Nothobranchius furzeri: one gene and its partners. The protein of the gene in region 1 interacts with the protein of each later gene in a pairwise test. Links are inferred from orthologs where the notes say so. Each region holds a gene or a part of one and is shown in the gene's direction. Other genes may lie near its edges. The genes, in order: cwf19l2, nab2, calcoco1a, meox1, mad1l1, gfap and rint1.

Region 1 (2,360 bases):
TCTTCCAAACACCTGCCGGCTCTGCGGTCTGCGCGCAACGGCGGGCGGGAGGGGAGGGGGCTTTTGGAAGAGTTGTGCAACACAACGACTCGATGACGCAATTCGTTGCCAACGCTTTTAGTAATCGATTTTCATCGAATTTATCGATTCGTTGTTGCAGCCCTAAACATGTGACAACCTAATACATGTGACAGCCCCATCTAGTGGACAACTTTTGTTTCTGTGCATGTAGTTATCGTCCATTTATCGTTATTAAGGTGAAATCTTACATTGTGATATTGATTTTAGGCCATATCGCCCAGCCCTATAGGCCAGCGGTAGACCTGCTGAGGCTACAATGGAGCGTGGCTAGACCGAACTGCAGATCGAAATCTTCAGCTACTGCATGTGCTTGACCACTGTTTGACTCAAGGTTATTCTAGGGGTCTGGGTTGTCCTGTTTTTTCTGCTGAAGGGAGGTACCGTTACCATGGCTACTGTGAGCCTGGTTTTCAACAATGTTGAGGTGAACATGAGAATACTGTCTTTCCTAGAAGAATGTTGTAATAAGATTATGTTTGTGGCTCTGTTGTGTGTTCATTCTTCCACTCGTTTTTTTTTAACGTTAGTCTGAGACCTGTTGTTGATTTTCTATCCTTAATGACATCTATACTCTGACTTGATTTCTTAACTCAGTTCTTTTTGCTGTTGTGTCTTTAGTTTAAGAACACCCCCCTCTCCTTTGTGATGTAATGGCTGTTCCCCAGTACACACTGTGAAGGAGTGTTTCTGATTGGAGCTCAGAGGAGAAGAAAACATAGAAGTCATTAGCTTGATGTCAGATTAAACACTTAGGAAGTACATTTTTCCCCTCCAATGTGTTGCTTTCTGTGTTCTCTTGTGGCTTTTAAACATCAACAGAAGCAAGGCAGCATTTGTGTCCCAGGGTTTGTACGGGTTCTTGAAGTCCTTGAAAATACTTGAATTTCAATAACGTATTTTCAAAACATGGAAAGTGCTTAATTTCTGCATTAATTATGAATTACCCACGGACTGGAAGTAGACGAGCATGACTTCAGCTCAAAACACAAGCTCAGCATCTCATTACGTTTAAATGCTTTTGGAAGATTTCCGTGTATCATCAGCTGACTCCTATAAAACCGGTGATTAACATCAGCAGTAAAAATCAGGGCAGGTGGAGTTGGAACATACAATGTTTAATTAGTCTGCAAACATGGGAGTGTGTGTTTGCACATGCGTGTGTGTGTTTAATAAAAAAAAAATGTAGCCAAATGCTGTATGGTAACTGCGCGATAATGTCTAGACCCCCCGCCAATACCCGGAGTCTCACATGTACACACATTCCAACTTGTTCCCTGGTTTCTATGGTGACAAGACTCCAAAGCAGTAACATTGTCGAATACGGTGCGTCTTGCTTCGTAGCTCGAACACTCAGAGGGTGCCTTTGATACAGCATACACACACACACACACACACACACACGCACACACACACACACACACACGCACACACACACACACACACACACACAAACTGGGATAGGCACTGCTTCATTTTATTTTATTCTATTTTATTTTATTATATTATATTTTATGTTATTTAATTGTATTTGAATATCACACTTTTATTATCTTTACATACATTTTTGTAGAATTACTTTATTTTGCTTACCATTTCCTCCTTTTCTCTCCCTTTCTGCCTGGGATGGACTTCTCCAGATGATGGGAAAGATGGATGGCGACAACTACACGCTGGATGACATGTTTGTGTCGAGTGCAGCCCAGAGGGAGGGCGAAGGGAGAGAGGAGGAGCGGATGAGGAGCAAGGCTATCGCTGAGAGTAGGAGGCTGGCTGCCTCCATGGATAAGTGCCAGCACTGTTTCAACAGCAAAGACCTTCAGAAGCATCTCATTGTGGCCATAGGGAGCAAAGTAAGGAGATGGTGTTGAATGTTGGCAGATTTATACAAAACTAATGAATCTGTGAGGCAAACTATTCAGCAGTTTTTTGGTTTGTAGCAACGTGTGATTTCTAGTTAACTTGTTTGTGATTTCTAGTTAACTTGTTTGTGATTTCTAGTTAACTTGTTTCTTTTACTCTGAATTTCCTGGACTGTTGAACAGTTAGTTATTAGAGCTCTAAATTAACTTAATGTTAGCTTTGGAAATTTGAATTATAGTTTAAAACCGTTTGTAAAGTAGTTTTGTTCTCCAGGTGTATCTGAGCCTGCCTGCAGGCGTGTCCATGACCGAAGGCCAGTGTCTCATCTGTCCTCTGCAGCATCACTGCTCTGCCACTGGTTTGGATGAGGACATCTGGTCAGAAATGCAGGTTTGTCCGGCATCAGGACTTAGCGTGTT
Region 2 (4,252 bases), on another chromosome or scaffold:
AAAATGACGCGTTAAAAAAATTAACGCATTTAATCACAGCTTGCATTTCGAGCAAGGCGGAACCTTTGTCATTGCACAATTTCCTTGTAGACCGAATATCACTGACGCACACAACAATGGCTACTAAAAAGGGATAAAAACAGACAGAAGTTGCCTTGATTGGACTGATGCAGGATTTAGGAAACACGTCCTCCTCTTTTCTTTACTTAGAAAAAGTAAACTTCCAGACAGCAACGGAGTCCATGTCGCAGACATTTTTCAGAGATCGTCTCTGCTGCGGCTGCCCGGTGGCACCGGAAACTTTAAAAATGTTGCGGTAAGCTATATTTTTAACATTTACGTAATATCTGTACAGGGCTGAAAGCACCAGACAGAATAATTCTTTGCCCTAACAGTAGTTAATGAAAGTAGTCAAACAAATGAGAGGCACCTGGCTGCAGCTGGGAAAATGGTCCATGTCCTCACTACTCTGATTTTAGTTGATTTGGGTCTTGTTTCATATCACACAGTGACATTTGAATAATTAAAAGGCATTTTTTAAATTAAGAGCTTTAGTTTACAGTAATAACCATGTCTAATGTTTGATTCTCTGTCTCATAATTTTAATTACAAGTTTTGCTTTGAGGGCACATTTTTTTGAACGATTAAAATGTGATTAATTTAGATTAATTAATTACAAAGCCTCTAATTAATTAGATTAAATGTTTTAATCGAGTCCCGGCCCTAATATATATATATATATATATATATATATATATATATATATATATATATATATATATATATATATATATATATATATATATATATAATTAGTTATTACAGAAAGGGTTTATTAAAGTTAATGTATTATTTGGCTTAAAGAAGATGAATGTAAGGGTTTAGGTGAACATGAATGTGATTAAGCAAGGGTGCCCTCCCCCACCCACTTGACCAACCTTTGGGACCGCCACTGTTCACATTTATCATTGATTCATTTTTCCTGCCTTGCTGTTGATGATGATGCTGGTGCCACGAAATCGTTCAGAACATGATTCAAATCTGACATGTTTTCGGTTCTAACTATATAATATAATATATATCTGATTCAACAGTCGCGTTAACCTTTTTCTGACGTTTTTTCTTAGACTTTCTTTGTCTTGGAGAACAGAAACAGGTTCAAGCAAAAACCCGTGTTCACGTGTGGGCTCCTACATGCAAACCCACATTAGTTGATCGTTTTTAACCTAATGGTGACTTCAGGTCTGGGGGTCTTTGTGGTGGTGAAACTGGGAATCCCCCACAGCGTGTGCGTCAGGAGCCGTGAAGACGCACAGGGTTAATTTCAAGCCCCCACCACCGCCGCCCACATCCCCTATTTGAAAGCCGCCTCTCTACCGGGAGAGGAAGGCTCTTTTTCGGTCAGATGGCGTGCTGCAGCCCGCCCCCGTCATTCTCCAGCCCACACAGACAGCAAAAAGGCAGCCAGAGCCAGCAACCAATACGGTGCGCCGGAGGAGGATTTCTGCCAGTGATATCGGACCAAGCAGCGACGCGCTAAGGGGATTTACTACGGCGATCTGCGGCGTGGAGGCTGTCGGTGAAGAGGTAAGAGGAACGAATCGGATGTAGAGAAGGACGACGTGTCGCTGAGCAGGGAGTCCTCTCTGACATCTGGCTCAGGATTGGCTCAGTCTGACTGGAGCCAGTCACCCAAGCAGCTCACTGCTTCACATCAGAACCATAAGGGAAAATATTTGGCTTCTTTCACAGTTTTATTCCAGGGAATAAGACCAGACTGCTTTAAGTTTCAACTCATCTGAAAAAGGTAAGAAAGATTCAAGAGTACTTGGTGCACGTTTGTGTTTTGCATGAAAAATATCATGTTTTTAATCCTAGAATCATGCAAAAGTTTTTGTGCTTCAGCCTGATAGATGCATTTGAAAATGAGCTGTCTGGATATTTAACATCTCTGGACTTTTCCACTTTGCAGGTTCATGTGTTTCCTTTCTCCTGCCTGAACTTTTCCAGTGCCGTGTGCCATGTCTCTGCCACGCACACTTGGGGAGTTGCAACTCTACAGGGTGCTGCAGCGGGCCAACCTGCTGGCCTATTACGAAACCTTCATCCAGCAGGGCGGTGACGATGTGCAACAACTCTGTGAGGCTGCAGAGGAGGAGTTTCTGGAAATCATGGCACTAGTTGGCATGGCCACCAAGCCGCTGCACGTGCGTAGGCTGCAGAAGGCTCTCCGAGACTGGGCGGCGAACCCTGCCCTTTTCAGCCAGCCTGTCGCCAACGTTCCTCTCGGGGGGATCCCTCTGTTCAAAGTTGATGGGACGGGCACTAGTGGGTCAGCTGGCGGGCCCAGAAAGCCTGTGAGTAATGGGCAGCCTGGGTCGCCCTGTGAGAGGGAGGATCGGGCGTGCCTCACCCCAATGTACAGTGGGAGTCCAAGGAGCCCCTGCTCCCAGGCCTCTCCTCAACCGCCAGAAACACACTACAGGGAAAAACTGTCCCCCATGGACCCCCACTGGCTCAGCCCAGAGCCTGATGGTAATAGCAATGTAGCTTCTGCACCTGGAACAGAGGAGGAGGCGCCCAGCCCGCCACTACTGTCCACATGTCCTCCTGGTCCTTCAACATCTCCTGTCCCATCTGCATCATTCGCCCCTTCGGCTCTGTCAGCCTGGCCTGGAGGACAGCTGGACGGGGAGACGGCGAGGGCCGTGGTGGAGAGCGTGGAGCAGCTGTTTAGGACCCTGCCCCGGTCTGATCTCACAGAGGTGAAAACCCTGCTGAGGATGAACAAGAAGATGGCAAAAACTGTGGGGCACATCTTCAGAATGGGTTCCCAGGATGCAAACAAGGAAGAAGAGATCCGGAAATACAGTCTGATTTACGGGCGCTTTGACTCCAAACGGAGAGAAGGCAAGCAGCTCTCACACCACGAGGTAAAACCTAACAAGCACATCACCCGAGCTCACGGATCGCTAAAGTGACAACAAACCAGATTTTATCTTCACCTTGTGACCTTAAATGTTGATTTAAAGCCTCCATCACTCCTTCATTCGGTGTCTCCTCCTCCCCAGCTGATCATCAACGAAGCTGCAGCTCAGTTCTGCATGCGCGACAACGCTCTTCTCCTCAGACGGGTGGAGCTGTTTTCTCTGGCTCGACAGGTGGCCAGGAAATGTGCCTACACCTCCACACTGAAGAGCACAAGGTGAGTGAGGTAGGGGTGAGCGATGAGGATTTGACCCACACAAACACACCTGCTTCACACGAGTTTCAGATCGAAGCAAAGTGTTAGTTAGACGTTTTCAGTTGTTTTATTCAGATTTCTTCTGTTACAGCTCAGGTTTTATATAAAAAGTTAATCAGGTAAAAAAAGAGTACACCTCAATTCAATTCTAGAATTTTGGGGCAAGCATGGGGCAACGGTGGCACAGGAGTTAAGTGCTGGCTCCATAATTGGAAGGTTGCAGGTTCGAGCCCCGCTCTGTCGCTGTGTCTTTGGGCAAGACACTTAACCCACCGTGCCTGCTGGTGGTGTTCGGAGGGACCGGTGGCGCCTGTGTACGACAGACTCACCTCTGTCAGTGTGCCCCAGGGCAGCTGTGGCTACAATGTAGCTCATTACCACCAGAGTGTGAATGTGTGTGAATGGATACATGACTGTTTGTGTTGTAAAGTGCCTTGGGGGGTTCCAGGACCGTATAAAGCGCTTTATCAGATACAGGCCATTGACCTATTTATTTATTTTTAACCATATTTTGATTCCAAAAGTTGACGTTCTTTAGTTTAAAATCCCAGACATGGCCTAAGCACTATTGTTTGCTGTTCAGATTATTGGGATTATTATTATAATTTTTTGGTCAAATTATTAAAATCTAATCAGAAAAGTTAGAGAATAAAGTTATAAAAACACAAACATTATTTTGTTGCAATTAAATTTTGAATCAATAAATCTAGTTGAGGAGACACTGAATCATCAAACTTCAGTTTAATGAGCTAGAAACAGTATTTTTACATGTAAAATTCCAGGTAATTTTTTTTTTACCAGTAAGTGGCTATAACACTCCATCATACATCTCATTGTTTACATTAAAATTCAAAAATGGAACGGTAGTTCATACATTTTTGGGAATTTTGGCAGAATTCTTATTGCAATTAAAAGTTTTTATTTTTTTATTATCTTCTGCAGGCCGAATGCGGATGAGAACAGCAGTTTGTGTAATAAGAGACCAAGACATGAGGTAAGCATTTACAG
Region 3 (4,042 bases), on another chromosome or scaffold:
GGCAGTTGGGTCATCTAATGAGCCCTAAAGATGTAGAGAAAACGATCTAAATGGGAAAAGCTGAAATCAAGGGACAGAATTTTTAAAAATGGTATACTGCCATCTGCTGTTCAGCATCAAAACATCATCTTGGTTTTTTCTCTTTTTTTTTCACCCTCCACGTTGCAAAAACAGGGGAGGTGAGAGGACTGACTGACATCCAAAAAGTGAGATTACTGGATAATTTGGAGAATTTGTCTAAATAAAACCCACATTTTTTCCTGGAAACATGGATTAATATCACTGTGTGTGTGTGTGTGTGTGTGTGTGTGTGTGTGTGTGTGTGTGTGTGTGTGTGTGTGTGTGTGTGTGTGTGTGTGTGTGTGTGGTTGGGGGGGGTCAATGATCCAAAATTTATGTTTATGTATTTAGCAGACGCTTTTGTCCAAAGCGACTTACAAGTGATAATCGGCATATTGCCCTTGAGGCTAACAGCAACAACAACAACAACAACAACAACAACAACAACTTGACATCAATCATGGAGAGGAGAGAACAAGGAGTGGACAGTAGAGAGGGGGGACGGGTGCAGGCAAGGTGCTAGTTAAGAAGATGCTCTCTGAAGAGCAGGGTCTTCAGGAGTTTCTTGAAAATTGAAAAGGAAGCCCCTGTTCTGGTAGCGCTTGGTAGGTCATTCCACATTTGTGGAACGATGCATGAGAAGAGTCTGGACTGTCCTGAGCGTGGTGTAGGCACTGCTAGCCGACGATCTGACGGCAACATTTATTCCTATTGGCCAATTATTTATTTATTTTACAATTTTTTTTACAAAATGCTTAACGTCATTTCATTTAACTTAATTAAAAATCGTAAACGGACCAACTTGTCCTACGAAAGAAGTACACCCATAATTTGATTTAAATTAACACAAACACACTATTCAAACCATTGTAAACCTGTATCGGAACACATGAGTGGTCCTGACCCAGATAAAAACATACGAAAGAAAACTGTTTCTATCACAGGAGTTACCTTTTCATTTCCCTTCCTTAGCTTCTCATTGGAGGACATTTAGGTGGTCCAAGCCAAAAACAAGCGCAGCATCAAGTTACGTGAAGCGGTTCTCGTGTTCTCTGCCTTCCTTCTGGGGATTGTAGTTTTCACGGTAACCTGACGTCTCCGCTCTGGCTCCGTAATGAACCACAACTCCCAGAGTTCTGTGGGGTGAAAGCTGTCAAGCTTGCGTTTTGCTTTGGGTCTTTTGTTATTGTTTCAGGTTACTGGAGCAGCAGACAGAAAAAGATATCGCTGCGGACTCAGACACGTTCATTTCCCTTTTTCTTTTGGACTGCAGCTGTATTATCTCAAACGCAGCCTGGTATTTAAGGAGAGGGGTTTAAAGGTAAGAGACACTTCGCAGAGGACTCGACCTAAATGTGCGCAGATAATTTTAGGTGGTTGACAAAGCCCGCATTGTTGTTCCGTTTGATTATTCGTGCCCGCAACACCTTAACTGGTCTGACAGTGATAAATAATTAAATGTCTGCCTACAGTGACTGACATTACATTTTTGTCTTATTTAACATGCATCGCCGCGCGTGGCCGTGTTTATTCGACATGTGCTTCTGCTGGGCCTTGTATGGCAGGCCGTAGTGACATAAAATCAAATCAAAATGTCAACAATGCAAAAATCAGATTACAAACCATGCTAGTCACAATATTAAGACTTTAAAATACTATTTCACCCTATTACGTTACCAGATATTATTTCCAAGTAAAGCAAAGTTTAAGAATTCTAAAATAAAGTTAAATAACAGAGTATTTTAACATATTTTAACATTTACTGGCAAGATAAGAAAGTCCCCGCAATGCATCTATAAATCAATCATTATGAAAAAAATACTTGTTGACCTGAGAGGTTTAATGCACAGAAATAACAGATCACCCAAAATGTTTTTGTTTAGGTTTGCCCAATACCAGTCTATACCCAGATAGCAAGCGTATATCGAAACAATGTAGAATCCACATTGCATTGTCAATGTTAAAACATATAGTCAGCATAATTTTGCACCTAAATTTAATATTGAAACATTATTTATTTATTAAATATAGATCAACGCCTTTAAAATTGTATTTCAAATAACCTAAATATTAAAACATTGAAATTTCAACACAACTACAGATCAATGCATTTTCCCTTATATTTCAATTGAGAGAAATTATTACAATATCATGCTGTTTCATGCAGGATTCATCGGTTTTGCAACATTCATTCAACATCTAGTTTGAATCAAGATTTCAATATCAACACTTCTGATGATTCAGATGGAAAATCAATATGGTTTCAATGTAAGCTTGCTATCTGGGTAGTGATCAAGGCCAAATTATTTATTTAAAATACCCCATTTACCAGCACTGATGTAACATTTCAAAATAAAACAAAAAAGAGCAGTCTTAGCTTGACTGCTCTGCTAAATACACTCATTTAGAAGTTTTCTTGTTTTTCATGAAAGCATACTTGGAATTATTCTGAATAACAATTATGGCAAGCACGCAGACATGGTCAGAAATAGAAATTAAGAAATCATAAATTTCTCAAAACGTTGCTTTCATCAAAAAGAAAAGAAAAAATCTTAGGCCTTCTAGCTGTCAGTTTTTCAGGATCATCGGATTAGATTTTCCCATAATATCAACTCACTTAAAAAGCTAATTTTGGGATCAGCCTCTACATTTGGGATATTTTAAATATTTAATTATAGATATGATGAAAGATATTTTGCTGCCTAACTATTATATGTTAAACCTGCCTGCGATAGCCCTCAAGCATTGCGGTGTAATAGGATTCCTCAAAAAGCTGCTGTAAATTTTCCTGCCTGATCTGTAATTATCTTTAAGATATGTAAATACAATTTACCCTTCACATGCAAGTTTAGAGTGGCCCTCTCAGTAAATAATCTCCCTAATGAAGTGAAATCACAAATAATAAACTAAAACTTTATAAAACCTGCACCTTGTTATTGTTGACTTGTATTTTATTGGGAAGCATTTTATTTTCTAGACATCTGATCTATGCTGGAGGTCAAATTTGACATAACGCTAAAGTAATAATGCTTTGTGTTAGGCAGTTGCAGGATTCATACCATGTCTGTGTAATCTGAGTCTTCTAACATGTCGGGAGAGCCTAGAAATTTTGTACTGCTCATGAAGAAGCGCGGTGAGTTTTACCATGACCAACATAACCACTGCCACAAACGTATAATGTGCCATGTTGCTCAAAGCCCTTCCTGTCAGAGAGGTTTAGCTCTAGTGTCTTCACCGACTCCTGCTTGCTCAGTGTTGCTCACCAGCTGTCACCTTTTACCTCGTTCACATTCAGCTCAGCAAACCAAACATGACAGTATCAACCTTGAACTTGAGATAAATGATCATATATTTCTTTTTCTTCCTTTAGGAACAGCCTTGCCTGGCTTTGTGTGTGTGTGTGTGTGTGTGTGTGTGTGTGTGTGTGTGTGTGTGTGTGTGTGTTGCCATGGATAAGACTTGGCAGGTGGAGTTTAGAAATGTGGGCTGCATTTACTTCCCGGAGAGTAGAGTAGATTGCCACTACACCTTAAGCTCACAGCACAGCTGGACCAGCAGTGACTGGATTGGGCTCTTCAAGGTAATGTTATCCTTCACAGCCGTTACAAAAATCTGATAAATAAAAGGTTTATTTAAAATTCATGGTAAGAATGTTATGTTTGTCAGGTGGGATGGACGTCAGTGAAGGACTACGAGACATTTGTTTGGGCTCTGACCCCGGCGGATTACCAGGAGGGCACAGATAATAACTGCTGTGTGCAGTTTCAAGGTAATGACCAGTAGGGTTGTCACGGTATGAAAATTTAACCTCACGGTTATTGTGACCAAAATTATCACGGTTTTCGGTATTATCGCGGTATTTTTTAAACGGTGTTGCATATGTTCAGAAAGCATTGATAGTCCTGTTCTACACAAACTGAAATAGTTCTGAAAAGGTTTAACAGTGTTTATTAAACCTAAAATAACACAAAGCCTTAGCAAA
Region 4 (3,952 bases), on another chromosome or scaffold:
TAATCATTAAAATATGTTTTTGCAGTGAACCACACCTTTAAGTCTGTCCAACGAACCACCTCTCTTCCTTAGGAGGTCAGCATTAAAGTAAAAACAGACTAGGACAAACGTCAGCTCATGAATATGAGCAGCAAGAAGAAAAACTGCTCGTCGGTATAGTGTGGTTCAGTGGGTAAGTGAGTGTCCAAAGTTTGGTTAACAGAATGGGTTTTAGACATAGGGAAGAGCTGAGATTAAAAAATAAATATACTTTATTATTAATAATCTCAGACAAGAGAAAATACTTCCAGCAAAATACAAGATATTGATATATGAAAAGGTGCAATCTTCCTGTCACAGCATTTGCTTGGAGAAAATAATAACCTGCTTTTGTGAAATATGGCTCTGAAATTCCATACAGAGTTTCACCAAAGAACCTCAAGAGGTGCGAGCTCTTGCATAACCAGTATCGTTTCCAGTTGTCCTTTCACCTCAGAGCCGTAGAAAGTCCAGCCAGGTGGACTGTGTGGTGTGAGGCAGTAGTGTGTTCACCCACACATAAAAACACACAAAACGATTTCTTAAGTGTGAGAGGACAGGCAAGGATTAAGGTTGCAGGGTTCCTTTAAAGGGTGTCAAATAAAGAACTAAATTGGGTGTCAGAAAGTACTGAGGAGTTGAAAAAAGGTCCCTGGCTGGGACCAGCAACTACTGCAGGTTGGAGTGGGTGGGTGCTTGCTTTATACTTTTCAGACAATGTCCCTTTAAAAAGCCCTGCGTCTGGAAAGCCCATTAGATGTGCATATAAAATTTCCCCCGTGATTAATAGTTGATGAGGACGGGTTGGTTGGAGGGTACTACCAACATGTGGACTCATGAGCAGCTCCTCCTCTGCTGTCTCACGTTACACTCCATAAACTCGCCACCATTTCCCACCTATATGTTTAAAAAGGAGGAGGGCTCGCTTGTCAAGAATGCCTTAGAAGAGTTGTGAAAACAGCCAGCAGAGAAAGGGAGTTGCAGATGCAGCTCTCACACTGAGCCACAAGCCGGTTAGATTTGTGAGGGAGAGGAGTGTGTGTGTGTGAGAGAGAGAGACACGAAGGGAAAGTGTGTGTTTTGATCAGAGGACGTCACTTACACTCCCACAGCGAGAAGGAAACACTGTCACAGGAAGGCGTCCATCCTCACACGTTCTGAGCTGTGGAAGAGTGACCAGCTCCACAGAAGTGAGTATTCCTGATGCGATGAGACCATCGATGATTCATCTGTAATCAACTCAAGTGGAAATTTCTCTCAAAGTGATAAAGATACACATTCCAGTCCTTACTTTGTGAGGAGGCTCTGAACTCTTCAAGAAGGAAATTTTTTGTAAAAAGACTGTAAAGTGTTTTGGCATCACCATGGATCAGCCAGCCAGCAGCTGCATGCGGAGCGCCCATCCCAGCAGCCCCATCTGGGGTTGCATGAGGAACCCTCACTCTGGGGTCCCAGGGGCCAATCTGCAGTCACCCTACCAGCAGGCCCCGTTCTCCCTCCACCAGAAGCCCGAGTTCCTGGCCTACACGGACTTCACCAGCTCCTGCCTGGTGCCAAGTGTGCCACACGCTGCCTATCCTCGAGATGATAGACTCTACCAGGACAGCCAGGGGGGATTCCAGAGAGCCGACTGGCAGTTCAGCCCCTGCGAGACTCGGGTGAGAGCGCCCGAGGCCTGTCCACCCATCGCCCCCGCTGTAGGAGGTTCTGGAGAGGACGGAGGTCCTGACCTGGAAGGTGTAGGGACCGAACGAGTGCCAGGAAGTGTTCCAGGATGTCTGGATGGAGAATACTCACCGCAGAGTGTGGCGTCAGTTGACTCAGACAAGAAAAGCTCCAATAAGAGGAAAAGAGATATCACAGGTGAGTCCAGATAGACGGACAGCATTTAAGCACTCTCAGTGAGGGGTTTAAGAGAAAACATGAGCATTTTAAACAAATGGAAATATAGGAAATTAAAATGGAAAAAGTCTTTTCTGCTGCAGTGATAATCATATGAATACAAATATTGGAAAGCAACAGTGAAATAATGTTATAAAACTATCAAACTTTTCTTATTTAATAAAAAATTATAATAGTTTTTAAACAAATGTGAATAGGTGAAAAAATATAACCCCACAAAACCTTTAGAGCTTTAAAATTGTGCATTTGGCTCAAGAACTACAGCTGGCAGGATGCACAGCCCTGTTGTTTCCTCGCTAAACTGGTCTTAACAGCATTTGTCTGTGTGAGAGGTGAGTAGGTGACCAGAGTGTTGTGTTCTAGCTGCTCTTTAAGCTCCAGTCGCATCCTCTTATTGTTAAAAAGCATTAGAAATAATCCATGAGGCTTTGGGTGTTTCATTGTGTCTCTGTGTCTGTTGGAAATCAAGTATTGTTTCACATTTGTGTGGCTCACAGGTGATTCTAACTATAGTTATTACAGCAAATCTGTTTAAAGCTGTCATATTCAGCAGCTTTCAGTTAAACCACTATCCACCAAATCAAGGCTCGGTTCATCCTTAGATATATTCTTGTGAATTATGTTGACGTATTTCTCAATGAAAGAAGCAGAAGTTCAGAATAATCTAACCCTCTGATGTAAACTCCTGCTAATGAGAGGAAACGGATGTTCTTGATAAAACTAAATGTGGGAAAAGCTCTAATTATCTGAAACACTTAGTATATTTTTAATGTAATTGATCCTGAATAATTAATTTGTTGAGTAAATTTTCTTTTTTGACTTATGTGCAGGACCGACGAGCATCTGTAGACCAGAATTAATATTAATACAAGAAGATTTGCTGGGCGTAAACGTATTTAAAGATGTGAAAACAATCAGTGATTAGAGTCCTTTTATGTAACGCAGAGTTGGAAATAAGGGGAAATGGATATTTATTTTAAACTTGTTGAGATGACCAAACTTAAATCAAAATGACCAGTTCGTGCAACAGACACACACACACACACACACACACACACACACACACACACACACACACACACACACACACACACACACACACACACACCTTTACCCCCACCTCCTCTTACCTTATTGTAACCTCTACTCTCTGCCCTGAAAACCTGCCAGACCACGTCTGGTAAACTCACTTTCCTTCAAGCCCACTCCTCACATTCTTATCCATTGACATTTTCCTGTCGTTAAGCCGTAACACAATCTCCCACTGAGTGCATGCAACATGTCCGACCACTACATCAGCTCTCAATTTTAGAAAACGGAGCAGTCCGCCCTCAAATTGACAAGCTGGTAAAAGAGCATATATTAGGAAAAGGCCCTGAAGGCATTCCGGGTGTACAGTCTGCATGTGCTGATATGGAACGTCAGGCTGACGCTGACAAAATCATATAATCTGATGATGACTTCAGTCTGACAGTTGCATTAGATTGTGTTTACCTGAGATCAAATCCAGCCTGCAGCTTTGTTTACTCATTATCTCAGTGTTTGGACTGAGCACAGTTTGCATTATCATCGATTTTCAACAATGTATTTTAATGCATGCCATGGAGCATATGATTTGGCATCAAATATAAATTTCATCAATGAATCTTGTTTAGTGAGATTTCTGGGTTTAAAAAAATGAAAGCATGTATTAACGTTGCATGAACTCTTTTCTTCCTACTGTCGCCGAGTGCTTGCTCATTCAAAATGTCAAGTTCTCCAGATTTTCCTTTATTTAAATCACCTCAGGAGATTTCTGTAGTTCAGATGTTGTTGCCCTTTAGAACATTTGCATTTTCCTCTAATAATAAGCAACAAAACATTTTTGTAATTATTCGTTTACATACACTTTAGAAGGACAAACCCTGTGAGATGAAACTTCTCGTTTTCGTGAGGGTTCTCCTTCACACACATCAAAAAATAAATAAAATAGAAAATCAGTAGGAGAGTTAAGTAGTTGAGAAAAATTAGTCAAATATAAACTAAATAAACC
Region 5 (3,500 bases), on another chromosome or scaffold:
TGCCATTCGGTTTTGATGAATTAAATGAAACACTTTAAATCAGAAAAATTGCTTAAATAAGAGAAAAGCGTGCATTTTTCTGAACCCTGCAAAGCCAACTGTCGCATAATGAATCTATTAAAGGATTAAATGGGATGCCGACATGGCACATGAGACGGAGCTGCAGTAATTACCTCCCGCATGTAGGCTAGTGGTGTAGAAAGTATTTTTCTAGTCTCACAGTTTGCTCAGTCTCTGATGAGAGGAGTTTATTACAGCTCCTCTCTTTTCCTAGATGTTGCTGCATAGCTGTGTTTGCAAAATAAGTTGAGCATAAAGAAGGTGTTGTGTTGACTGAGTGTTCAGATTGCGTTGCCAATAATCCCATTCCTGTTGAGTTCAGGTGAAGTTTTTGGATTCAGTTCAATTCAATTCAAATTCAAAGATACTTTATTAATCCCACAGGGAAATTAGTGTCAGTACACACAATTCTGAGATCAGACATATATACACAGACACATGACAAGAATTGGTGACTGTGGTCATTCGCAACCCAAGTCGCGCTACCTTAATAGAGATCAGAGGGGTTTACATGAGGATTGAGTCAGATGGAGGAAAAAAGGCACTTCAGAGTTACCCTCCACAGGGAGGGCAGCTTTGATATGCAAAAAACACCTCAGACAGAAATGCAACAGACATCAGACATAACACAGCATGAGTGTCCACTAGGTGGGGTGGTAGGGTTTGGGACTCTCCACACGTCAGTGCATGCAGCCGCAATAAGCAGCGCCCATCACCCCCATCTGGACAGGGGGAGGTGGTCATTGGGTTTAGAGGGCACAGTGACTCCTGGAACGATTCAGCAGCCTTCACAGCTCGCAGTCCCGCCCAGCCTGGGATAGGGAGACAGAGTTGCCATGGCGACGGCAGCATTCCACATTTCTTCTGAGTAGGGATGGGTACCTTTGACATTTGAATCGATCCGGTACTAATTACCGGTACCTACAAATCGATACCGGTACTTAACGGTACCAATTTTCGATACTTTTGAGTGTTTATTATTTTAATTCTCTTTTATAATTAAATATATATTTTTCTCAATATATAACAATATTTCATAAATATCACGATAAATAACATACAACTGTTTGTATTTTAACATTGCCCTTGTAGTTTTATAAGCTGATAATTAAACTGAAGCAAACATCTTTACTGTGAACTAAATTTACTGTGAATCTTCATTCCTTTTGCCATCTTTTTTCATTTGATTTTTCCTACTGGGAAGTTAGAATTTCCGAGGAGAAAGCGAACGCACCATTAGCTGATAACAATGGTAGCAATGGAAGCTAACATATCAAGCTAACGATATCTTAAACAGTTTATTTAGCTGCTGGAGCAGATTAAAACGATGCCTCACACTTAGATCGTCACTGGTTTCGTCTTCACCCGTCACATTTAGTAAAGTGAAGCCAAAATTTAGAGCGCGTTCATGTTGTTCTAGTCGGAAATTCTGAGTTCCGAGGAGAAAGCGAACGCACCATTAGCGAAATGGAAGCTAACATATCAAGCTAATTATATTTACGTACCGGAGCAGATTAAGATGAGGATGTCTCACTTAGATCGTTGTCGCTGGTTTCATCATCCAGTTACCCATCACATTTAGTGAAGTGGACCCAAGCTTTAGCCTGCGTTCTCTCTACCATGCTGCTCTGTTTACAACTGGTTCACAGCAAGCGACGACAAAACGCTCTTGCGCATGCGCAGCTGTCTTGGCAAGTTCTCGTTATGATGGACGGGTACCGAAACGAGGCACCGTTTGAAATGACGTGAATCGGTGCTCGGTCGGTACTCTGGAATTCGGTCGGTACCTTAAAAAGTACCGAATTCGGTACCCATCCCTACTTCTGAGGGGGAGTATTTGTTTCAGCCTCACAGGCTCAAGGGCACCAGATTCAGAGAAGAATTTGTTTTGGGGCCAGACAGTGATAATTTCTTCTCTGTCTTAAAGTTCCGTTGGTCCTCAACATCTCAAAATCCAATAATGGCGTAAGTTAATCTATCCCAATCCGTGCTGATTCGTCCACTCGCTCCTTAATTGCATCCATCTTTTTTGCCAGAGCCTGAATCTCAGTCAAAGTTCCAAGCCTACGACTCTTTCGACAATTATGAGTCTGTGCATTCACAGCGTGGTGTAATCATCCCCGAGCTCCAGGAAAGAGCCAATATTCCTTTACAGCTCGTTAATTTTCCGGTAAGCCAGGTAGCCTCCCAGGCCAAAAAGTAGGAAACCTGACACCAACACCACAAATATCCATACGTCTTCAGAATCCTCTACAGACAGTTGAGATAAGCAGATCAGGTTCCACTGTTTCCAGGAGTCCATGATATGCCCAACTGGATCTGTCCCAGAGGGGCATTCGGGAGCCCCTTCTCCCGTTATCATCGTTGAGAAAATGTTGTCAATCGGGTTGAGAGGCCAGCTGACCAGGTCTATTTTTAATAATTTCCAGTTTCCAGAAAAAATGCAGAAGCGTCGTACACCCAAAGACAGACAAAGAGCCCTGGGGATAAGATAGGGAGGAGAGGAGGAAAAAAGCATCTGTACTCTACAAGAGCCGAAAGAAGAAGCATGCTTATTGACAGTTGAGAGAGCTGAGCTTTAAATTGGACTTTCTCCAATTTGTCCCGCACAGATGTTTGTTCAGAAAGGATTTTAAAAATGCTTTATGATTTAATTATGCCATATTTCACTTGTTTTACAGGAGCGAAATGGGATGAGGGCCATACTGGAGTCCTATGACAGTGAGCTTGCTCCCTCTGAATACTCTCCTCAACTCGCAAATCGACTCAAAGAGGCGGAGGAGGTTCTGCAAAGGACACAGAACCACAACATGGATATGGAGGTGTGTATGGTTTTATTGGCTAAGCTTTAGTTGACTTTAACACACACTAGTTATCTATGTGTGAGCTGGTTATTAAATAATCCTCTTCCTCTGTTTCCCTTGTATTTGGTCTTTTTCAAGCTTTCCTCTGATGTATCTGTTATATTTTAAATTTTTGCTTAAATTCAGGCCCAGCTAACTAAAACACAGGAGGAAATGGGGGTGCTCAAGCTACAGCTACAAACAGTAAGTAAGAGGAATGTATGCAGGTTATTATAGGTCCTATACCGTATTTTCTGGAGTATAAGTTGCACCAGCCATAAAATGTATAATGAAGAAGAAAAAAAACATATATAAGTCGCATTTTGGGGGGAAATTTATTTATTTTTTTTTACAAACTCTGAGACCAAGCATTTCACATTGCAAGACAAGTACCGGTAACAATAACAGAATAAACAACCAGGGCGCAGCAGCGTGCCACGGTCTCCAGCAGAGGATGGTGGTGTTTCAAACACTCCCAGCGGGTGGGGAGAACGCCCGCAGCACCCCGCCACAGACTGCAGCAGGTGTTGGCAGTGTTTGAAACCCTTCCAGTGGGGCAGAGGAGCTGAAACCTGGACCGGAGCTGGCCCACAGCAC
Region 6 (4,087 bases), on another chromosome or scaffold:
AGAGAAGATTTGCTGAAGTGCTCTGATGTAGCCGGCCCAGCGGTTGTCAAGGTAATGAGTCAAAAGGGTTTTGTAATGCAGCCTCCGTTTGTCATTCTGAAGTTCAGATTAGGTTTGCACTCACCGAACCCCCCCCCCCCCCGTCCTTCTTGTATTCATCGTCGTGCTCCTCTTCATCTACTCCGTCTATCTGTCTCTCCAAGCAGCCGGATGTCAAATAACCTGAAACTAGTTCACAATCATCAGAATCAAAATCTTGTAACTCCTTTTCTTCTTCTACAGCGGTTTGCATCCTCCACGATGATGACAGGATGAATGCTATCATTACCCACAAATGCTGAAAGGATGAATTCATGTATTACTCTACTGTGAAATGAGAAGGTAGCTTTATATAACTGATGATTATTTATCAGACCAGTGATTAAATCCTTTCTGAGAAATGTTAGCTCTGGTCCATGAACTATTTGATTGGCTTCTGCGTGGATCCATAACCAGTTCGAATTAAATCTTTATTTAATTTGTTACCAACAGCCTCGCAAACACTGAAAGCTTGAGCCACAGATGATCAGCAGGGTCTCTCATGTCAGACCTTTGCTGATTTGTCTTCCTGTTTATCTTTAAATAAAACTTTCAGAATGTGTTCATTTATTGTCTCCTCCTATACTTCCTTCATTTTAAGCATTGCAGATATGGATGCAGGACGGAAAACCTGTAACTCTAAAAATGAATCCAATGTTTTAAATTATTCTCGAGTTTATTAGCAGTTATGTCGTTACGTAACTAGATCCCAACAGGAATCGGGAGGAATGTTGATAGTTCAGTCCTACATCTTGTTTATTTAGAGCTCAAAGCATGCTGTGAGCATGTGATTTTATCTTCTGTCTTTATTGCCGACCTCCCCAACATGCTCTTCTGTTTGGACCGGTCCTCCTGCCGCGGCTGCGAGAGTGTGTGTGGTCAGGTTGAATTTGTGGCCAGACTCTGTTGCACAAAATTCCTTTTCATTCGCTTGGAACAGAAAGAAAGAGGGCGAACAAAAACGGGGCGAACGTAAGCGTGAAAGAGTGAGCCCAAGGGGAGAAAAGGGGGAGACGAGAGGGTAAAAAAAAAAATCCAGGAGACATTTGTAGTTGAGTGGAGGAGCACAGACAATCCCTGGCGCATGTAAACCTCCCCTTTGCCATCTCTTTTTGTTCCATTCACTGCCTGCCACCCTCCTCTCTCACTGCCCCAGCCTGTGGCCTCTCTGCTGGACTTGGGGTGGGGGGGTTTCTCCCTATATAAAAGCCCTGTTTGTCCCCTGAATGAGCTTATTCCCTATCATGGACAGCCTTAGAGCACAGTCCTCATACAGGAGACGTTTTGGGCCGCAGAGCTCAAGCAGCTCAGGAGGTAAAATAGGTGGACTATCTTCCCACCGCCTCTCCTGGCATGGCGCCCCTCGAAGCATCACCCACTCCAGCCCCGTCTCCCGGGTCTCCCTGGGCTCCTCCAGCACGGCCTTGCTGCTGGGCAGCCCCGTTGACCGGCTGGACTTCTCAGCTGACTCCTTGTTGAAGGCCCAGTACAAAGAAACTCGTACCAACGAGAAGATGGAGATGATGGGCCTGAACGACCGCTTTGCCAGCTACATAGAGAAGGTGCGGCTTTTGGAGCAGCAGAACAAAGTTCTGGTGGCAGAACTGAACCAGCTGAAGGGGAAGGAGCCTAGCCGCCTGGGGGACATCTACCAGATGGAGCTGAGAGATCTACGACGGCAGGTGGACGATCTCACCAATGGCAAGGCTCGTCTGGAGATAGAGAGGGACAACCTGTCTGCAGACCTGGGCACGCTCAAGCAGAGGTAGGAGAGAACGGTCCCAAAGTAGACCTGGGCCTTTGTGTGTCTTGTGTGCTCGCTGTCCTATTGATGCTTCACAGAAATAATGATGGGATTAAAACTTTTCCCCTAGTCTTTTCTTCCCATCAGCTTATAAATCCAGGAGAAAACCGGAACAGCCCCCAAAAAAGTCTCAGTGCTTCAAACTACATAAAGAGGAGTAATTTGACCTTGTGAAGAATGTTTTTGTTAATTCCTGTAAATACACCTGTCATGTCTGTATTTACGTAGCGCTTCTGTTTACATGTGTTTGTGGTTGGTTGGAATGCAGAGCGCTGTGGTCTGCCTGGGCTTTACTCCTCTATCCCTCTTTACAAACGTGATCCTGACTGAACCCTCGCTGCCATTCAGTCAGTGTGGAGGAATGAAGCAGCACAATGGTGGCGCTCCACAAAGGGAACAGAATGCCAGGCAGATGTAGCTTTCCTCTCTTTCTCCAAAGCACAAAGTCACCACCGCTGGTTATCCGGCTCCTTTTCTCCACATCCACCATCACGCCTCATGTCAGCTTTTTCATTTTGAGACAGGCCAATAGAAAGTCTCAGGGTGGAAACTGGAGGGTTTTTTTTTTTTTTGCCCTCTGACCAAGCAGCTGCTGGTCCTGTGAGAGATTGCAGGATGAATAGGGATGCTGCTGCTTCAGGGGTTAAAGGTCACCTTTTTTAAAATTCGTGCTGCTCTTTCTGTTAGCAACCTCTGCATGAAGCTGCATGATGTCACTCTACGTTTCATTTGCTTCTAGTGGGTAGGATCAGTCTGTGTGCTGCGCTGACACGGATTCTCTCTCTCTCTGTGTGTGTGTGTGTGTGTGTGTGTGTGTGTGTGTGTGTGTGTGTGTGTGTGTGTTCCATCCCGTGGGAAAGGTCTCCTCCGGCTGTTAGATTAGACTGGAAGTGTAATGATGCGTAAGCCGCTGCTCTTTCAGCTGAGTCCTGCCACTCCTCTGCAGCTCAGTAGAAGACAAAACAAAAATCTGAACACATTTTTAAAATACGTTTAATTTTTCTTAATTAAACTTTAGCTAACTAAACTTTGCGCAGGAGTTTGTTTTTTCTGACCCAAGGACCCCAGACATTGTGCTCTCATTTGTGATATATATATATATATATATATATATATATATATATATATATATATATATATATATATATATATATATATATATATATATATATACATATATACATATCAAATGTTTCAGAAATATTTTAGTGTAATTTAATTCCTCCTGGCTGGGAACTCTCAGTAAGAAGCTCTTCACATTTTTCTTGACTCAGGCTGCAGGATGAAATGGGCCTCCGACAGGAAGCAGAGAACAGCTTGAACGCCTTCAGACAGGTGGAAATATTAGTAATATTAAAAAATCTTTAAAATATTGACAATCTCAATGTTGTTTGCTGTCATCCTGCGATGTTTCTCATTATTCACACAGGATGTGGATGAAGCAGCGCTCAGTCGGGTCCAGTTGGAGAGAAAGATCGAGGCCCTGCAGGATGAAATTAATTTCCTGAAGAAAATTCATGAAGAAGTATGAAGAAACGCTGAAGTTGGTCCAAAACAACTAGACAGATTTTAGCAAAATCACGACTTTTGCCACGTTTTTCTTCCAGGAGCTGCGTGAGCTGCAGGAGCAGATCATGGCCCAACAGGTCCACGTTGACGTGGATGTGTCAAAACCAGATTTAACTGCTGCTCTGAGAGACATCAGAGTTCAGTACGAGAATATGGCCACTTCAAACCTGCAGGAGACAGAGGACTGGTACCGATCCAAGGTCAAATATTTTACTTTTAAAGGAGGGATTTACTCATTTATTCAATACTTGTGCAGTGTTCTTTAGTGTAATTCAATGCCTTATGAGCCATAAAAAAAAATAAAGCTATGATGCTCCTGTTATGAGATGCAGATGTTTTCTGGTGCAGAGATGGACTGAAAACAGTAGAATTACTCATTACTATTATTGAATTGCACACGTCTTGCTTCTGATTGGCTAACAGAACATGTTCAGCCATGTCACTGTCACCAAAACACCCTCCGCTCGCTCTCCCTGCTGCAAAAAAAACAAGCCTTCCTGTGGACGGGCGCTTGCCAAGATGGGCGAGACCATGAATGCAAATTCATAGTGTGACATAGATGTGTGAGGATTTTAAAATCCTAGAGTTTCACCATCTATTTTCTATCAGAAGGTAATGCAGGAGATAGGTGTAGGA
Region 7 (3,500 bases), on another chromosome or scaffold:
GACCAGAACCCCGGGGCTGACTAAGAAAAGAATAACCACTCGGGCAGAGTTCAATCAGACCAGAATAATCAGATGTTTGCTGCCAAACTTCAGTCAGAAACATAAAATCCAGGTTTTTAGAGAGAATTAGATCATTGAGCAGGAAGGACTTATTGTTAACAGAGCAGGTATTTAATAGATTCATGCTGAGTGAGGTGGAGGAATCAGAAACTACAGAAACAGCTGGAGTTAGTGGACATAAATTACTGGGGTTAGATCCACGGTGTTTATAAAAACCACTTGTAGAGGGAACAGGAGGAGAAACCACTGAGGAATGAGGATAAACCGACCTTAAAAAACTTGGACGGATGAACCACGTCGCAACACGGCCTGGCGGGAATGCAGAAGTGGCGCACAGGTCACCAAACAAAGGACAAGAAGCTAGAAGATCACGCCGATGTTTACTAGATAAACAATGCTTTAAAGAAGTCTTATTCTCACCTGGATTCCTGCCCGTTTACCTCTTTTCCTCCGACGTTTTCCCGGGACTGGATAAACATAGCCGGAGGCGCGCAGCTCAGGACCGTCGTTTGGCTCCGGGCCAGTGCGTCACTCAGATAAACGAACAGGGAGGTACGTCCTTGATGCATCTTGGGCGATCGTGAACGAACGGAAGGACAAAAGAGTCTGGCGATCATAGGAGATGGTAGCAGGGACACTACTGAAGAGAATCGCAGACCGGAGCAAGGTGGAAAAGAGGAGGTTAGTGAAGAAAAGTTTGAAAAAGTGGCCGGTGACTGCGGCTAAGCCAAGCATAGGCGCCATCTTGTTGCCGACCAGAAGCGGAAGCGGAAATGTATCAATAATGGCAGCTCCGATGGTTTTCCTGTGACCTTTAGCTTTATGCTATCACATTAGGTTTTCAGTGGATACAGACCTGAATTAGACCTAGACTTGACCTCATACCCAGATCCTGGATCAGCCTGCTCCTGATCTTAAAGGGATACTTGTAAAATTTCCAAATTTTTAAATAATGTTCTTGAGTCAATATGTGCTAAAATGACCCTTTACAGGGTTAATGAAAGGTCACTCAGCCCCTATTGACCCCTGTGGCCAGAATATTCCACTTGCAACTTCAGACTGTCTGGCCGCTCAGTTGGGACTGACATATTGAGCTGACACAGCTGGTGCTGTAGTCTGCTTCCAGCACATTTCCTGCATGTTTTAGATCATGAACACATCTGATTTGTTTTAATTAGTGACAAATCACTCCTGCAGACACTAATTAAGGCTGGGAGACATTTCAGCTGTTAGATTAAGGCGTTAAAAAGATGAACGCACAACGAGGAGATAAACTTAGTTTTTGGTTCTACACACGAACCCTAGGGGGTGCTAAAAGGCAAGCCAAAACTGCATAGTTCCCCTTTAAAGAGACTATGTGTAGTTTTTACCATTCATTTCTGGAAATATCTATCAAAATGTTGTTGAAAATGAATTAAATTATACCCATTTGTTGAAAAATATTAGCAGCTTTGAAACATATAATTGTAAAAATCAGGTCTAAAATACATGGAAGCGGGTAATAATACACCTGAGCAATGCATTAGATGCCATGTTTCCTTCTACGGGAGCCCATGAGGACAAAATGCATTTACTGATTTGTAACGAACGGTTAAACCGTGGTCATTCTTAAATGTTGTTTTACACAGTTACCTCCACTTCTTGCCAGTGATGAAAGGGAGTCTGATGTGGTTGTTATTTAGCTAAATTATGCACTCCCCAGGGCTTTTTGACCCTAATGGGCATACATTGGTAAGGTCTTACTCCAACACAAAAATACAGCTTGCTTGCAACAATTTAGTTATTTACTGCCCCTATCGCCAGGGAAAATACACACTGTCATTTTAAGTTCTGACACATTCATTATTGGCCTTCTGAATATGTCCTCATCAGTACTGCAGCTTACGACAGTAGACATTTCGACTTGAACCAATATGACAAGCTCTTCTTGACACATGTGTCTTTCCTACGCTGAAGTTTTCCTTCCTTACTGTGGAACTGGTCCGTCAGCTTCCACTGCTTGTTTCCTTAACCTCCATGATAGAGATGACCTCATATCTCAGAGAGCCTCAGCTTCTGGTCAAGGTCAGCCTTCACCTCCACTTCAAGCTCCTCCCCTTTGTCTGCCCATTCAAATCATGCTTCAGCCGCTCAAGAAGAGGTTCCGATACCATTTCTGTGGAAATCGACAGACTAACTCCCTAAGCAAGGTTTGGCTCATACAACACTGGTCCGTACAGGATGGTTCTGGAGCTCTTCCTGTTTGTTTGGCCTAAACAGGTGGACAGAAACCTTATCAAAGTGTGCTGAAGCAGCATTTTGTTCACAGCAAAACCTGATGATGAGACCGTTAAATGTGTGTTTTGACAACAGGTATAATAATATCAGCAAATTTATTATCCGTGTGTTTTATTCTTTATGTCCTGTTGTCAAAAAGATACAATTATATTTTGCTTAATGTTTTGTTTTAAATTACTTTACTATTTAGTGTTTTTGCTTAAATTTGATCATATGTCTGTCAACAGTAGAGTTAACACACCCCTGCAGGTGTTAACTCTAAACTTGTCAGGGTGTTTTCTGCTCGCAGTATTAAAATTAATCTGTTAGTTTAAAAAAAAAGAAAAGAAATAAAATCATTAAAATGCTTGTAGCAATTAACATAAATATGCTGTATTAAATTAATCAATCAATCAGTCAATACTTTATTAATCCCAGAGGGATATTAGAGCTGGTAGTAACACCCACATTTGTTTACTTTTGAATATTTTGCCTTATAAGTTAGGCTTGAATGTATTTAATTGTATAGTAATTGTATTTAACTGTGAGACTAAATAATTTCCAGTAATTTCAGTTCCATGGTAGATAAATTAATAAGGATCAGTCTCACAGACTTGCTTTGGTTGAGACCCATTTGCTCCACCGAGCTACAGAGGTGATTGTCTGTGGGATGGAGGTGTGGAATTGTTGTTTTTCAGCAGCATTCTCCTGCTCTGATTTAGTCCCTTGTTTCTAATGATGACTGGTGTCATTTCCACCTTTCTCCTAATCAGAATGATATAATCATGTCAGTTCTTGGGTTATAAAATCAGTTTGAAACCTGAAAATTTACCACTTACATAAATTCCATTATTCCTCTCACCTCAACCTGGTGCCAGTAAACACGAGCCTAACCTCTTTTCAGCAACACATATCTATTAAACGCATGATCAGAAATATCACCATTAGCATAAAAACTAGCTACAGTAATGAAAAATGTGCTGCTTCCAAAGCTTCATGAATCAATCTAAATGTCCTTTTTCACAGCCAGAGTGGTACCTAACGCAAGTTCTGATATGGATGAGAAACAGCTCACCCTTCTTGATGGAAAAGATTCAGCCTGCCTTGGACCAGGCTGGTGTGGCCATCAGTGCACAGGTTTGTTGTTTTAGTGTGTTGTCGTCATACCTGAGTCAGTTCACCAC

What was found.
Region 2: the proteins of cwf19l2 (region 1) and nab2 interact in binary tests that used the Homo sapiens proteins (3 or more experiments, as listed by UniProt). The two-hybrid records come from large-scale screens. The link is inferred for Nothobranchius furzeri from reciprocal best matches to the Homo sapiens genes CWF19L2 and NAB2.
Region 3: the proteins of cwf19l2 (region 1) and calcoco1a interact in binary tests that used the Homo sapiens proteins (3 or more experiments, as listed by UniProt). The two-hybrid records come from large-scale screens. The link is inferred for Nothobranchius furzeri from reciprocal best matches to the Homo sapiens genes CWF19L2 and CALCOCO1.
Region 4: the proteins of cwf19l2 (region 1) and meox1 interact in binary tests that used the Homo sapiens proteins (3 or more experiments, as listed by UniProt). The two-hybrid records come from large-scale screens. The link is inferred for Nothobranchius furzeri from reciprocal best matches to the Homo sapiens genes CWF19L2 and MEOX1.
Region 5: the proteins of cwf19l2 (region 1) and mad1l1 interact in binary tests that used the Homo sapiens proteins (3 or more experiments, as listed by UniProt). The two-hybrid records come from large-scale screens. The link is inferred for Nothobranchius furzeri from reciprocal best matches to the Homo sapiens genes CWF19L2 and MAD1L1.
Region 6: the proteins of cwf19l2 (region 1) and gfap interact in binary tests that used the Homo sapiens proteins (3 or more experiments, as listed by UniProt). The link is inferred for Nothobranchius furzeri from reciprocal best matches to the Homo sapiens genes CWF19L2 and GFAP.
Region 7: the proteins of cwf19l2 (region 1) and rint1 interact in binary tests that used the Homo sapiens proteins (3 or more experiments, as listed by UniProt). The two-hybrid records come from large-scale screens. The link is inferred for Nothobranchius furzeri from reciprocal best matches to the Homo sapiens genes CWF19L2 and RINT1.

What each region holds. Positions count from the first base shown.
Region 1 is NC_091753.1:35,482,046-35,484,405, reverse strand, and holds part of cwf19l2 (CWF19-like protein 2), read left to right. Parts: intron 1-1,718; coding exon 1,719-1,931; intron 1,932-2,214; coding exon 2,215-2,331; intron 2,332-2,360.
Region 2 is NC_091743.1:50,555,446-50,559,697, reverse strand, and holds the start of nab2 (NGFI-A-binding protein 2), read left to right. Parts: upstream 1-1,452; 5' UTR 1,453-1,587; intron 1,588-1,752; 5' UTR 1,753-1,807; intron 1,808-1,972; 5' UTR 1,973-2,021; coding exon 2,022-2,933; intron 2,934-3,071; coding exon 3,072-3,205; intron 3,206-4,186; coding exon 4,187-4,238; intron 4,239-4,252. UniProt on the Homo sapiens protein: Acts as a transcriptional repressor for zinc finger transcription factors EGR1 and EGR2. Isoform 2 lacks repression ability.
Region 3 is NC_091755.1:25,985,121-25,989,162, forward strand, and holds the start of calcoco1a (calcium-binding and coiled-coil domain-containing protein 1), read left to right. Parts: upstream 1-1,242; 5' UTR 1,243-1,381; intron 1,382-3,430; 5' UTR 3,431-3,449; intron 3,450-3,487; 5' UTR 3,488-3,508; coding exon 3,509-3,640; intron 3,641-3,726; coding exon 3,727-3,829; intron 3,830-4,042. UniProt on the Homo sapiens protein: Functions as a coactivator for aryl hydrocarbon and nuclear receptors (NR). Recruited to promoters through its contact with the N-terminal basic helix-loop-helix-Per-Arnt-Sim (PAS) domain of transcription factors or coactivators, such as NCOA2.
Region 4 is NC_091756.1:48,793,307-48,797,258, forward strand, and holds the start of meox1 (homeobox protein MOX-1), read left to right. Parts: upstream 1-1,152; 5' UTR 1,153-1,382; coding exon 1,383-1,881; intron 1,882-3,952. UniProt on the Homo sapiens protein: Mesodermal transcription factor that plays a key role in somitogenesis and is specifically required for sclerotome development. Required for maintenance of the sclerotome polarity and formation of the cranio-cervical joints.
Region 5 is NC_091744.1:8,623,627-8,627,126, reverse strand, and holds part of mad1l1 (mitotic spindle assembly checkpoint protein MAD1), read left to right. Parts: intron 1-2,741; coding exon 2,742-2,882; intron 2,883-3,050; coding exon 3,051-3,107; intron 3,108-3,500. UniProt on the Homo sapiens protein: Component of the spindle-assembly checkpoint that prevents the onset of anaphase until all chromosomes are properly aligned at the metaphase plate.
Region 6 is NC_091745.1:10,096,034-10,100,120, forward strand, and holds the start of gfap (glial fibrillary acidic protein), read left to right. Parts: upstream 1-1,287; 5' UTR 1,288-1,304; coding exon 1,305-1,843; intron 1,844-3,156; coding exon 3,157-3,217; intron 3,218-3,311; coding exon 3,312-3,407; intron 3,408-3,489; coding exon 3,490-3,651; intron 3,652-4,087.
Region 7 is NC_091741.1:64,270,813-64,274,312, reverse strand, and holds part of rint1 (RAD50-interacting protein 1), read left to right. Parts: intron 1-2,083; coding exon 2,084-2,249; intron 2,250-3,342; coding exon 3,343-3,453; intron 3,454-3,500. UniProt on the Homo sapiens protein: Involved in regulation of membrane traffic between the Golgi and the endoplasmic reticulum (ER); the function is proposed to depend on its association in the NRZ complex which is believed to play a role in SNARE assembly at the ER.